Linked DNA regions of Drosophila melanogaster. The protein of the gene in region 2 interacts with the protein of the main gene of each other region in a pairwise test. Each region holds a gene or a part of one and is shown on either strand. Other genes may lie near its edges. The genes, in order: danr and GstS1.

Region 1 (4,604 bases), on a different chromosome or scaffold from region 2:
CATTTATTCCCATTGATGCCCCCGAATAGTTATCTCTTTTTAGTTTAAAGTTAAGATAAGGCATGCAGTATATATTAAGATATATACTTATATGGGTATGTGCATTTGACGTATGCGTTCAGAATTAGTTTAATAAGCCTTCGACTGAAACAAATTATGTATATAATAACAATAAAGTGTATGTACAAAATGTAAGGGCTAACTGCCAACATAGGTTATGTATATATTTAAATTTGTATGTATGTATAAATTGAGACTTAAAATAAATACCGTTTCCTCATACTTATACTGCAAATACTTATAAATCTAATGCAATTTGATTTTTCCATTAAATGTGCACTTATTTTGACTTTATGTATCAGAAAGAGTATCTCAATGCGGTATGTCAACAAATTGTTAATTTTAATCGATAATTACGATTTGAGTACGCTTGCAATCGTTTATTTATTGTGTAGGTTTCATATTTAATTTAAAACAATCCATTCATTTTAAAATACAGTTTTGTGACAAATAAACTTGAATGAAAATTGTTTAATAATAAATAATGATATAGTTATAACATACAGCAAAACGGAAATTAATCAATACAAGTAGATGTAATCTAATAAATTATAGTTAATAGAAAATTTATTTAAATATGTGTAAATCAAACATAAATACTAAAGGCTACTTACTTTCTAAACTGTGTCTTTTAATAACACAATAAAAAAGTATTAAAAAAGGGATGTGTGATATTATTTAAGGAGAATATTGAACGGATTAGCATTTCTAAAATGATTATTTTAAAGTGTACTTAGCCAATTTTCGCAATTTATAATATGATTTGGTATATTTACCAGGCTGAAAGCTTTTAAAGCAGTTCTTCTTCTAGAATGCTGATAGTTTTCTCGAGATTGAAAGCTTTTGTTATTTTTTCTTTAGTGGACGGCGCAGACGCATTAATAGTTTAAACAATAATTAAACGACGAGATTCATTGAGACATTATAATCCATTTTAATAACAATAACAGTGTTTGACAGCATATACATAGTTCTTTGGATTAGGGGTAGAATCAAAGAATTACAATTAGAAAGGTGTTCCAACAAAGGTGTTATGTACATTACGTACGTTTTTAGTATACAGTCGCAATCAAAAAATTAGAAGTGATCCATAAATAATATATTTATATGAATTACATCGTTTTATGAAGGTTAAAACAATTTTGTGTGCGAATAATCATCAGCAAAGAACTATGCAAGTTCTCCATATAAGGTATGTGCTATTCTTTTATATTATTGTACTTCGTGAGCACTTATACATATAAATAAAAATATTTAAAAAAACGCAGTGAATTCAAAACTTGTGTTAATAAGTTTAGCCTGATCACCTTTTAGTCTATATATTTTCTATTATCTTCATAAGATAAGGGTGCAATGAAAATATTTACCACAAATAACGGACAAAGAGTACTCATGGAAATTAGTGCAAACACACAGATGGAGAGTGCAAATAATATAGAGTGGAATTGTGTTATTCTCGGTAGATTCGCAACCCAAAAGTGCAACCAGGTCCACGTCCGTATCAGATCCGCTCACGCACATGCGAATGCGAGAAGGTTGGCCAAATACACGCACACACACTTTCGCAGGAGGGAATGTTTATGGGAGGTAAATAACTGGTTTTTATATAAACACACGGGCACATACACACACACACACGCAGCCACGTGGAGGAGCCGATTTGGAAATGTGCATCCTGCATGCTGAATATCTAGATCCACAACACCACCACACACATACGCAGCCCGCGAAGAGGGACGCGAATGATGGTCAGGACATCAAACCCGTTAAGAGAGCCGAACAGAGCGAATTTCGTGAGCAGGACATGAGTAACAAGTTGTTGCACTGGTGGGTGGTGGGTGCGCGCGCGAGAGAGAGAGAGAGAGAAAGGTGAGAGTGGCGCTTTGCTCCGATTGGTCGAGAAAAAGCGAGAAAAACGTCATGCCGTTCTCTTCGCCGCAAAATCATCGGATCATCTCGGCGGTCGCCGTTCGCCTGTCGCCGTTCGCAGTTCGCAGCTCGCCTTTCGCGGAATCGGATTCACAATCACATCCTTCTGCGAGTTCGAGGAGTGCACACCGGTGGTCGCATCCGCAAAGTCCGCGCTTCGAAACCGCTATCGTAATCGCAATCGCTATCGCCAGCGCAACCAGAAATAGAACCATGGATATCTCCGCCTACCAGCACATGAACATCCGGATGAGCACGCGCGGCAAGCGTCCTCTGAGGAACCTCACGCCCAACGACAAGGTGCGTGCCATCCAGCGCATCCACAATGGTGAAACCAAGGCGAGTGTGTCGCGGGACATCGGAGTGCCGGAGTCCACGCTGCGTGGCTGGTGCAAGAACGAGCAGAAGCTGCGCTTCATGTGCCGCCAGCTGGGCCCCGATCACCTGGGTCTCGACACGCCACCGGAAAAGCGCGCCAAGTTCGAGCTGCAGCTCCAGCTGCCACCGAAGTTCGTGGCACTGCCTCCAAACTACGAGGAGCTGGGCTTCGGTGCACTGCCCTACAGTCCAGCCGATTACCCAGTGCAAAATGAATCCCTGCTGGAGAAGCTTAGCCTTGTGGAATTTGTAAAAAAGAACGGTGGATTGCATCCGGAGGGTGCACTGCATCCGGGTCAGGCCGGCGTGATGGACTACTCCAACAACATGCTGCACCAGCTGAATCTTCTGGCCCTGCTCAACTCCAAACTCACCCCACAGACTGCCGATGTCCTGGTAGATGCACAGCCGAAATCAGAGGACAACAAAGTGATTGATTCGCCCGCTGCTTCCGAGGATTACAGCAAAAACAATTACCCCTTGCTGAGTGTTAAGAACTGGGCCAAGGATCCGGCCAAGCGGGTGAACTCCGCCAATCAGCCGGAGCAAGTGAACGATAAGAACAACAATGCCCTGGAGGCCAACAGTTCCGCACCACAAGCTCTTGTCACGGAGCAGGCGAAGACTCCCATGTTCTCGGACACCACAATGCCCCTACTGCCAGCACCCTTCCCGAATCCTGCGGATCTAGCGCCTGTGATAGCACCAGTGACTCCGGCAAACGCCCCGCCCACTGGAACCGATAACCAGGGAGCGGCTCTGCTCGACTGGTGCAAGCTCTTCAATGCCAGTTTGAACTTCCTGGCCTTCGCTGCGGCCGCAGCCTCCATGCAGCCCGGCGGCGGAGGACCAGGTGGACCCAGCTACAATCCCAACCAAATGGCCAGCGGCGGATCGGAGCCGGATCTCGAAACATATCCTTTCAACGAGGCGCTACTAAAGCGACTGAGTCCACTGGCGCACAGTGAGGCCTCCAACGAAAGCTACTGCGACAGCGAGCCGGAGGATCTGTCCGTGCGCTCCTGCGCCTCCAAGGCGTCCAGCAGATCCCACACTCCCGACAAGAGCGTCGGGTCCAGCGACGCCGAACAGTAGACACCCTACATTATAGCATAGTTGTAGTTGTAGTTCATAGTGTAAATACATCCATTTTTATTGTTATTAGCCACCTTTAGTATTAATGAAACTCGAATCATTTCGCAATGCAAATGCCATTTGTACTTATCAATTAACGTATTAATATCACTGCAACAGGTATTAATAGCTCAGCATACTATAGCTAGTATTAACTAGGAATATCAACTGTGTGACTACTTGTTTGAAAGCCAAATTCAATTCATCTACACGTATTATAACAAATACTAATTGTGTTAAGTAGCTTAATTAGTTGGCACATTTTGTCAGCCATTCCAATCGATTTGTTTTATTACTGTGTAATCTGCGTAACTCTCAAATAAGCATATAAACTAATTACTAATGAAACGAATAAATATTTATTAACAAAACAAAATAAAATTCAAGTGTCAATCTCTCAAGATCAAAACATTTTTTTACTTGATGGGTTTTCAATTACAGCGGTTAGAAAAATGGGTCAATTTTCTACCTATGAAGAAAATGAAAGTCTTACCCGCCAAAAGGCTTATCGAAAAACAGGAATTTTCTATAGAATTAAAGTATTTAATTATAACAAAACTAAATTAATTCATGTGGTTTTTATTTAAAACGTTCGCAAGTTAAATAAAACTTACAGGCATTTGCAAGAAAAACAAATAGTCAACTTTTTACCCATATTTTAAAAATATATTTCATTAAACTAATTTTAAATTCATTATGCAAATTAAACACAAATCGATTGAATCTTTAAGTTGCAAACAAATAAAAACTTGAAAATGCTAATGAATCCTACTTTGAATTTCCATTAGAAGTAAAACTCTTTTACCAAAAAGCGCCTTCATTGGTTTTTTGCCATTTATTTTGTAGGGATAAATATTAAACTTGGCATGCAAATGAATACATGTATGTGCCGAAGCACATTCCATATTCTATATGATGAAAGGGAAGCATCATTATAGGTGCCATAGATGGAGGTCAGCAGTCAGCAGAGGAGTTTGGGTCCTGGCATCTGGGCTGTGCGTTAATGAGTCCTCTTCCTGTTTTCCCTGCTCCTTTTACCCTGCTCCTGACGATTGGTGCCTGGAAAGCGTTTTCGGAGGCATCGGTCATGCCGAACACGAAAA
Region 2 (7,943 bases):
TTTTTTTTTTTTTGGAGAAACCGGTTCTATTGATGTGAGTCTTTTTTTAATGGCTACTTAAAAGGGAACTGGATGAGACGAAGAAAATTCCTGGGGCCGCGATGGCGTGTTGTATAAAAAACAAAATAAGAATTTGTAATTGTTTCTCAGCCTTAGCTGGTGTTGTTTTAAATATTTATTGAGCCCTCCGCATTGAATAAATTGCAATAGAATACGCCTATAAGATGAACCACTCGTAGCTTTTGTATTTTATGCATATATATATATATATAGGTACAGCAAATGTCTGCATAGGTGCGCTAAATGTATGTTCTAAAAGTAAGCCAAAATATTATAAACTGTGCAATAAGTATTATCTTTCATCATTTCAGAAGAAGCTAACGAACGGCGATCCGCTGCCGGACCCCAATAGAAATATGTATATAGCGCCATGCAAAGAGAATTATAACCAAGAAATTAAGAACAAATACGATTTATCCATAGTGATACGTGCTAAACTCCTACGCGTTTATGACCCCGTGCGAAAATCCGCCGTCCTCTCGGATCCTCCGCAAAAAGGAACAAAATGTGTGCAGATGTGGGTGGTGTGCATTTCTGCGGTGCGGTTGTGTCTGAGTGGTTGTGCAATGCTTTCCCATCCTCCCAAGTCCTGTTCGGTGAACTTAGACCTCGGTGACGGGGCGCTTCTCGATCCAGGCCTTGATCGGTTCCAAAGCGTTGACGGCATCCACGACTCCGCGCAGAGCTGGGTAGGGTTCCAACAGATCGCGCTTGACCATGTAGTTCATGTAGTCGGTGATGCCTGCGAAGTAGACGTCGGCCCAGGTCAGCTGTGGGTGAAAGGAATCGATGGTTCTTAGTATTGTTCATTCAAAATTAACGAGTGTATGGTTTCAAGTTCTCATTTGAGCACGCACCTTGCCCAGAGCCAGGTGACCATCGTTGTCCTTGACGGTCTGCTCGAGCTTCTCCAGGTAGAATGGAATGACCTCCGCATTCAGGGTGACCAACTTCTTCTCTTTAATCTCGTCCTCCGGCTCGTACGAGACGACTGCAATTTCTATACATTAAAAATTCCAGAGTTAATCAAGGACACTGAACATGAAACTGAGGCACACATTGTTCGCTACTTAGACGGAAGTCATTGATGGTGTCAACGACAATGTCGATCTGCAGATCCTCCCACGGAGTAGCGCCGCACAGGCCGACAGTCTTGGCCAGGAATCGAGCCATCGAAATGCTCTGGTGCACACGCTTGCCGTCCACCTCCAGCACGGGCATCTGTCCCATGGGCATGGCTATTGGATGAGACAGAGTAGATTATGGTTAGTCCACTGACCACTCAATGATGGACTATGGCACTCACTGGGCTTCAGGGCTGGCCACTCGTCGCGGGTGACGCGCACATCCTCGTACTCCTGGTTGCCGTAGGCGAACAGGTAGCGCAGGGGCTCGGCCAACGCCTTCACGTTGAAGTAGAAGAGCGTGTAGCTGTGCTTGATGGGCTCGGCGGGCTCTGCTGGTGGAGCGGCCTCTCCGCCCTCGACGGCACCCTCGGCTCCCTCGGCGGGTGGTGGCGCCTCTCCCTCGGCTGGTGGTGCTCCCTCAGCTGGTGGTGCTTGTGCTTCATCGGCCATCTCTGCGCTTTCTCAATGCAATTCCCTGATAGAAAAGTAGAGCAATGTGTGTTAACAGAATCTTATCGGGGAAGTACTATCGATAATTTGATATTCATCAATAATAAATTACGGTGTATATGGAAAGTTGGTAACCATTATGTTTTCTTGGCTATCAGATTAGATATACATATGTTGAAAACTTCAATAATTTAGAGTGCTAGCCATTTCACGCCGTTTTGAAATAGCCTTGGTTAGTTTTCCAGAACTTTCGTAGTTTTTGTTTACGTTTGCTGGCTTATTAAACTCAGTTAATCAGTCGATAGCCTGATTTTTATGATAAGGCGAACGCGCCAAACGTTTCTAGCTGAAGTGGGCCAGAATATGCGTGAGTGATAAGGATATATTACGGTGTCGTATAACTTCCACGATCCACGATAAAGTGTGTCCACAAGGCTACGAATATTCTTAAGTGGTTTAAACAAATGATATAAAAACCGTTGGGGGTAAGCTACATATACTCTATAAGCTACTAGCTAATTTTGCGCTAGTTCGAAAGCCATGTTTGCTTGCATGCCTTATGAGGCTATTCTTCAAGAACAATGCAATAAATCAAGCGGAGTCAAGGCAAAAGTTGACAGAAAATATAATTACCATAAAATTGCAATATATATAGTAGATATATACTGAAACGCAAGAGTATTTCCCCATAGAACCCACCGGAAGTGCATCGATTGCCGCACAGACAACACACCCACGCATATCAAAGAAACAGACACCACTCCTCCGCCCGTCTGCCCACTTTTGGTCCCCTTATGTTTTTCGCTGAATCGCGCAAAAGTCGGAATCAATATCTTTTGGGGCGTTGGCGCTGCTGGAAGAATCGTAGGACGGAGGAGGTACGGATACTACGCCCCTGTTTCCATTGTCGTCGGCACTTTTTGCCTCGCTGGATAAACGGATTCAGTGTGCAATGGGGTCCATGTAGAGCGTAAACCCGTTTTCGTTCGATTTGGCTGAGGAATCATGGTGTCTCTGCCTTTGCCATCATTTTGGCAGGGCGCCCAGTCAGTCACCAAGACTTCGGATCCCCTCCCCAACCCCATCACCGTTTAGTAATGGCCGATTGGCCGCCTCTTCCGCTGCAATTTTCGCTTTCGGAGAGTCTCAAATTGCAACAATCGATTTGACTTTTCGGTGTTATCTTCTGGTTTCGCCGTAGTGCTCTTCCTTTTTTTTGCTGGCACTTGTTGCCATGACAGCTTCAATTGAATTTAATTTGGTCTGTCTCGGTGTTTCGGTGTCATGATTTAATTAAATTTCGATTCTCTGATCTATTTTGGCTCTTTGATCTGGCACTACGGCACTAAAATCGTGGCAAATGGTTTCACTTTAATCGTGGGAAAAGGTTAGGGAAGATAATGACACCTAGATTATCCAATCCATGGGAAAGGGCAGGGATCACAGCGGGTCAAGGACCCAGTGGAGGCACACAAAGTGCGTCAATGGGCACTGAAGAGATTCACGTGCACCCGGCCCATATGGGCAACATTTCCAGATGAACTCGCCGATCGGGGGGGTTATCACTAGAATTTGAAAGTCTGGGACCCCTAGCCCCGAGGCATATCAGTTCAAAAATATAACTGATTGTTTGTTTGTTGCTAAATAATTTTGTTTTGAATTTCAATTATTCCTTTTTGAAAAGGTATTAAAATAGGGGTTATGTAAGCCTGCGTTTGGATAAGATCCCGAATATGCACTACACTCAAGTTGGTTCCGGTTCGAGTACCTCACGCTTCGAAATACGTTCACGCACTCCACAGTCGACGGAGGTGCTATGGTCGTTTCTATATTTCTATTCCGATCTGATCGGTTCTGAAGAGGCAGAAGAAGAGGGCTTCTAGTTGATCGGTTAACGTCGTTGTCCTTCACATATTTGCTTGCGAGCGAGGCGAGAGATCCGCGCGAACTGCGATTCTGCGAAACGAGTTCAAAACTTTTCGATTTCGAATCGATTGACCCAAAAATCAAATCAAATCAATCGAAGCCAAAAAACCATTGTGTGTAATTTTAGAACCGATTCGAGACGAACACCATTCGGCATCGAAGTTCGCAAAAGCGTTTTCCACTTTTTGGCAAGGGTAAATCTTGGTGCGTAATTACATCACTAAGGTGCTACGAAATGAGGTGGTTCCAGGGATTCCTTGGCTTACCTCAACAAAGAATACGAAATCAGCTGGGCACTGGGGCTCTCGGGTCTTCAATTCGCTAATAAGCGTTCACTTAAATCGTGGGCGAAGGAATAGCGTTCGGTTCGATTCGCACTCTCTTTCCGTTACTCTCTACTCTCACTCTCTCCAGCCACTGGGAAGCTATCACTGAACCGATCGTCACGACGACTGCACTGCAACTGACTTTCTTCTGCCGGCGACGCTGCTTTTATACGCTTGCCGCTCTCATCAAGCAAACACTCTCTTTCAAGCTTCAGGCGTTTGACTGTGTGTGTAAGCCGGCCGGTTAACTGGAAAAAGGTAGTGTTTTAATTTTAAGTTTGGCTCTCTCTCTCTCTCTCTCTCTCTCTCTCTCTCTCTCTCTCTGATTCTAGTTCCAGTGGGCGTTGAAAAGGAAACGAAGTTAATGAATTAGTTAACATATTTAGCCACGTTTCCAGTTCTTCTTCTTCCTACCCTCTTTTCTTAAATGGAATGCAATATTCCAGCAGGCTTTGGCTTCCCAATTTGGCAATTAGCTTTTCATAAACAAAATGGAACTCTCTCTCTGTTCTTAAAATCTCTCAGTCGGCATTTAAATAGATCTCTTTGGGAGAGGTTCTCAGCTCAGTAATAAACCAATTATAGTAGCAAAAAAAGGCAGTAAATATTTGTTTGGGCTTTTAGTGGATGAAGCTTGTTTACTGCCCACTTAAAAGATACATAGTTTAAAGAACGAAAACTAAATAAAGCAGATTTTGAGAGCCGAAGAAAAAAACATCTTATGGGTACCTAAAACTAATTATTAACTTTCAATCTTACTCCTATTTGCATTAAGTAAGTTTATCGTATCTTAAAGTCATACTCCCACATTCTTAGGAACTATCCGCCGCATAAGTACTTTTGTTAGCATTAACTGATTGTGAGAAATTAGCCAGGAAATTTGAAACGCCCAATACTCAATCGCGGTGCTCTGGACTTTGCTTAGTTCGATCCAGACTGGCGGTGCCTGGCGACGAAATTCGAGTGCATCCAAGATGTTTACTTATGTGGGAAGCATCAGGTTCACTTCATAGGGTTGTCTAAGGGAAAAAATGTATAACGCTTGTGAATTATATCAAATTAAAATTATTTAAGCATTTAAAACATGTTGCACATTGTTTTGTTTTTGAATAGCTTAACGGGGGCTCTTTCATATCTTTTCTAATTGCATTTATAAATATCGGTAAAATAAGTAAAATTATTTTAATTAAACCTGTTAATTTAGGCATATTTGCTGAAGGCAAAATTTCCATTTAAAAATTTAAACATTTGAATGACAAATTCAACTTGTAACGTAAATGTTCGAAATTAACATTCTGGCAACTCTTTGCATGGTTGCGGTACTTGATAATAAAAAGGTTGGTTAGAAGCCGCACTAATTTAGGTTGTGTGCTTGGCTAGCTGTTAGTGGCTCGAATTGCGGCGAATTCGACTTAGAAAAGTGTGGCTCGAATTGCGGCGAATTCGACTTAGAAAAGTGTGGTAAGTTTAAATTTTGAATATTGGCGCGAAAATATGATTTGTTAATTGGGTTTACTTGTATCAAAATTTAATGAAATTTATTAATTGCCATAAATTAAGTTAGAAGGTCAGTTACACTTAGTTAAATAGGTCTTAGCTCATATCTTATCATTAGCTGAAAATGACTGCCGTTTGCTTAGCACTTGACATAAAATAGTATAAAATTGAATTAATTGATTAAAAAACTTGATTAAGTGTTATTCACTGTGAATTGATGGGACTCCTACAATTTTCATCTTGTACCCACACAATCTTTGCTTCTACCCAAATAACTACCATAAAACGCAATCGAATTCACCAGCTTTTCGCAGCCATGGGACTCCCACAGCTGGAAAAGAAGCATTCCATGCGATTCGGGCACTATTTGTGTGTTTTTGTGTTGGCTGGGCGGCGTACGTTCGAAAATGTGCAAAGATAAGCGAATCGGTGCACAAGTAAGAAAACAGCAAAAATCCCCCACAAAATCGAGCCCAGAATTCTCGTAGAATTACGCGAAAATCCATAGAAAATGACCGATTTGTGGCCTTTAATGCGATGGCGCGTATTCAGCTCTTCGTTTTGCGTTGGCGGTTTCGATTGTGAGCAGACCTCGATTGATAAGATATGACAATCGTTCACGATAAGACAGACATTTCGAACACGCTGACGAGTGCATAATCGAGTGAAACAGGTGGAGAATATATGACAAATCGCAGCGGACTCACCATGAATAACTCTAACTGAGACTTAAAAAAAAGTCCGAAGTTTTTTTTGACGCACTGCTCGCTAGTGAGGGAAATTTTCGATTCGTTATTGTTTTTGAAGTAGGTTTTCCAGACTGCCTGGTTGTGCGCCAATTTTCTCCGCATTCTTTTTCGTTTCTTTCTTGGCGAAGACCACTAAGTTTTATGCACAGGCAGAAATTTTACGTTTAAACCTAATGGATTTTTTCTGCAATTATGCATTTTGAAGCTTGCTATAAAATTTTATGTTCTAACAACGTGCTATAAAATATTTTCCAATAAAGTGCATAGATGTATGATTTTAACGTTTATGGATTGAAAGTAGTTTACTATTTTATGGTCATGACTATGGCTGCAATTAAATAAAATTATTTGCTGTGTGGCCTGCACTAATTAAGAATTTATGCCGCCTGCAATTGCACTCCAGGAATAAGTAAAAAAAAAAGAATAGTAAGCAGCACGAAGAATGAGCGGCGGAATTATGACAATAATTTGCTGTGGAAAATGCGACACAGAACGGAACCGACGAGCCCGCGAGAGCAATCTAAATAATAAAAAAGCGAGCGCATAAAAAAATTATAACTAACACTCGGCGGGCGAACAGTTAAAACCAGACGGCGGGAGCGGCAGCGGTAAAAGTTATAGACGGGTGCTATATGGAAAGAGAGAGAAACAGTGAGATCGGGAGAGGCGATAATTCTCGCACTTGCTGCACTGCGAATTCCACCTTCAGTGCGAATTCAAATGCGCAGGTGAGCGAACGTTGCGCGAGTTGGTGAATGTTTTCCAATTGGGCGATCGCTTGAAGTCCACATTGCGTATACGCAGCGTGAGCCGTGACCTTAAAGCGCGGCAAAAGACCGATAAATAGCGAACAATGTAAGTGCCGAAATTGGCAAGTGAACTCGAATGGCAGCTAGTGAAGAAATCTAAATTCAAAGCGAACACGAAACGTCTGCATGCGCTTACAAAAACTGTCTCATTAACACGTGCCCACAAATTATGAACTGTGCAAAACCTGAAAATCAAACTCCAATTTTAATTGAGTAAATACACAAAAAAATTGTCACTTTTCGCCCGAATCAGTGCTGGCTCCAAAGCTGTTTTGCTTCAAACTCGTACTGACTCGTGTCGGTAATGAGTGGTTTTCGCCACTTTAAGCCATTAAAGCCACTATTCTGTGTGCCTTTATCTTTGTAATCGGCTGACTAAATACATAAACTCTATTTTGTTAGCTGACTCTGCTGATGGGCGAAAATCGTATTATCCAATTCAAGGTTTCCACGTATCTATTTGTTTAGCTATTATTCGCCCATAGCTTCGATTTTGGTTAAAGTAGTTTGATGTAGTTGTGTGAAAATGTACCCGTTTATGATTGCCATACTTTATAAATGTTAGAAGTGGCTTTAAAACCCATTCAAATATTATAAATGACGATAAGCAGTGGAGTGGGTGAAGATAACAGAGTGAATCAGAAATTGATCGACCGAATACTTCCCGATTGTTATTACGAAAAAAAGTAGAGTTGATCCCCCAACTGAAAAAATACTAGATAGACCTCCAAGTGTAGATTGCTGTTTAAGACTAGCACGAAAGCAATATACCCTTTGTTGCACTCGGGTTAAAAGGTAGCCAAAGTCAAACACAATGAAACTTGCATGTGACGATGCTAAATGCCCAATTAGGCGGCTATAACCAGTTTGCGGTCTATTAATAACGATTGAAAAATCCCCCTAAGATACCTCGAAGTTATAAGCAAATTAATCCGTTATCGGTACCTATACAACTACCAAAATAATGCCAAAAAGCATACAGTGAATCATTTTAGATAA

The links.
Region 1: the proteins of GstS1 (region 2) and danr interact in a two-hybrid assay, tested with the Drosophila melanogaster proteins (one large-scale study listed by BioGRID).

The regions. Positions count from the first base shown.
Region 1 is NT_033777.3:25,136,031-25,140,634, forward strand, and holds danr (distal antenna-related), read left to right. Parts: upstream 1-2,041; 5' UTR 2,042-2,202; coding exon 2,203-3,462; 3' UTR 3,463-3,873; downstream 3,874-4,604. UniProt on the Drosophila melanogaster protein: Probable transcription factor with a role in the retinal determination (RD) network. Regulates ato expression and is required for normal R8 induction and differentiation.
Region 2 is NT_033778.4:17,093,399-17,101,341, forward strand, and holds the start of GstS1 (glutathione S transferase S1), read right to left. Parts: upstream 6,104-7,943; 5' UTR 6,094-6,103; intron 4,909-6,093; exon of another isoform or gene 4,728-4,908; intron 4,138-4,727; exon of another isoform or gene 3,830-4,137; intron 3,580-3,829; exon of another isoform or gene 3,406-3,579; intron 1,663-3,405; 5' UTR 1,638-1,662; coding exon 1,367-1,637; intron 1,299-1,366; coding exon 1,119-1,298; intron 1,061-1,118; coding exon of another isoform or gene 1,052-1,060; coding exon 918-1,051; intron 831-917; coding exon 663-830; 3' UTR 1-662. UniProt on the Drosophila melanogaster protein: Conjugation of reduced glutathione to a wide number of exogenous and endogenous hydrophobic electrophiles. May be involved in the detoxification of metabolites produced during cellular division and morphogenesis.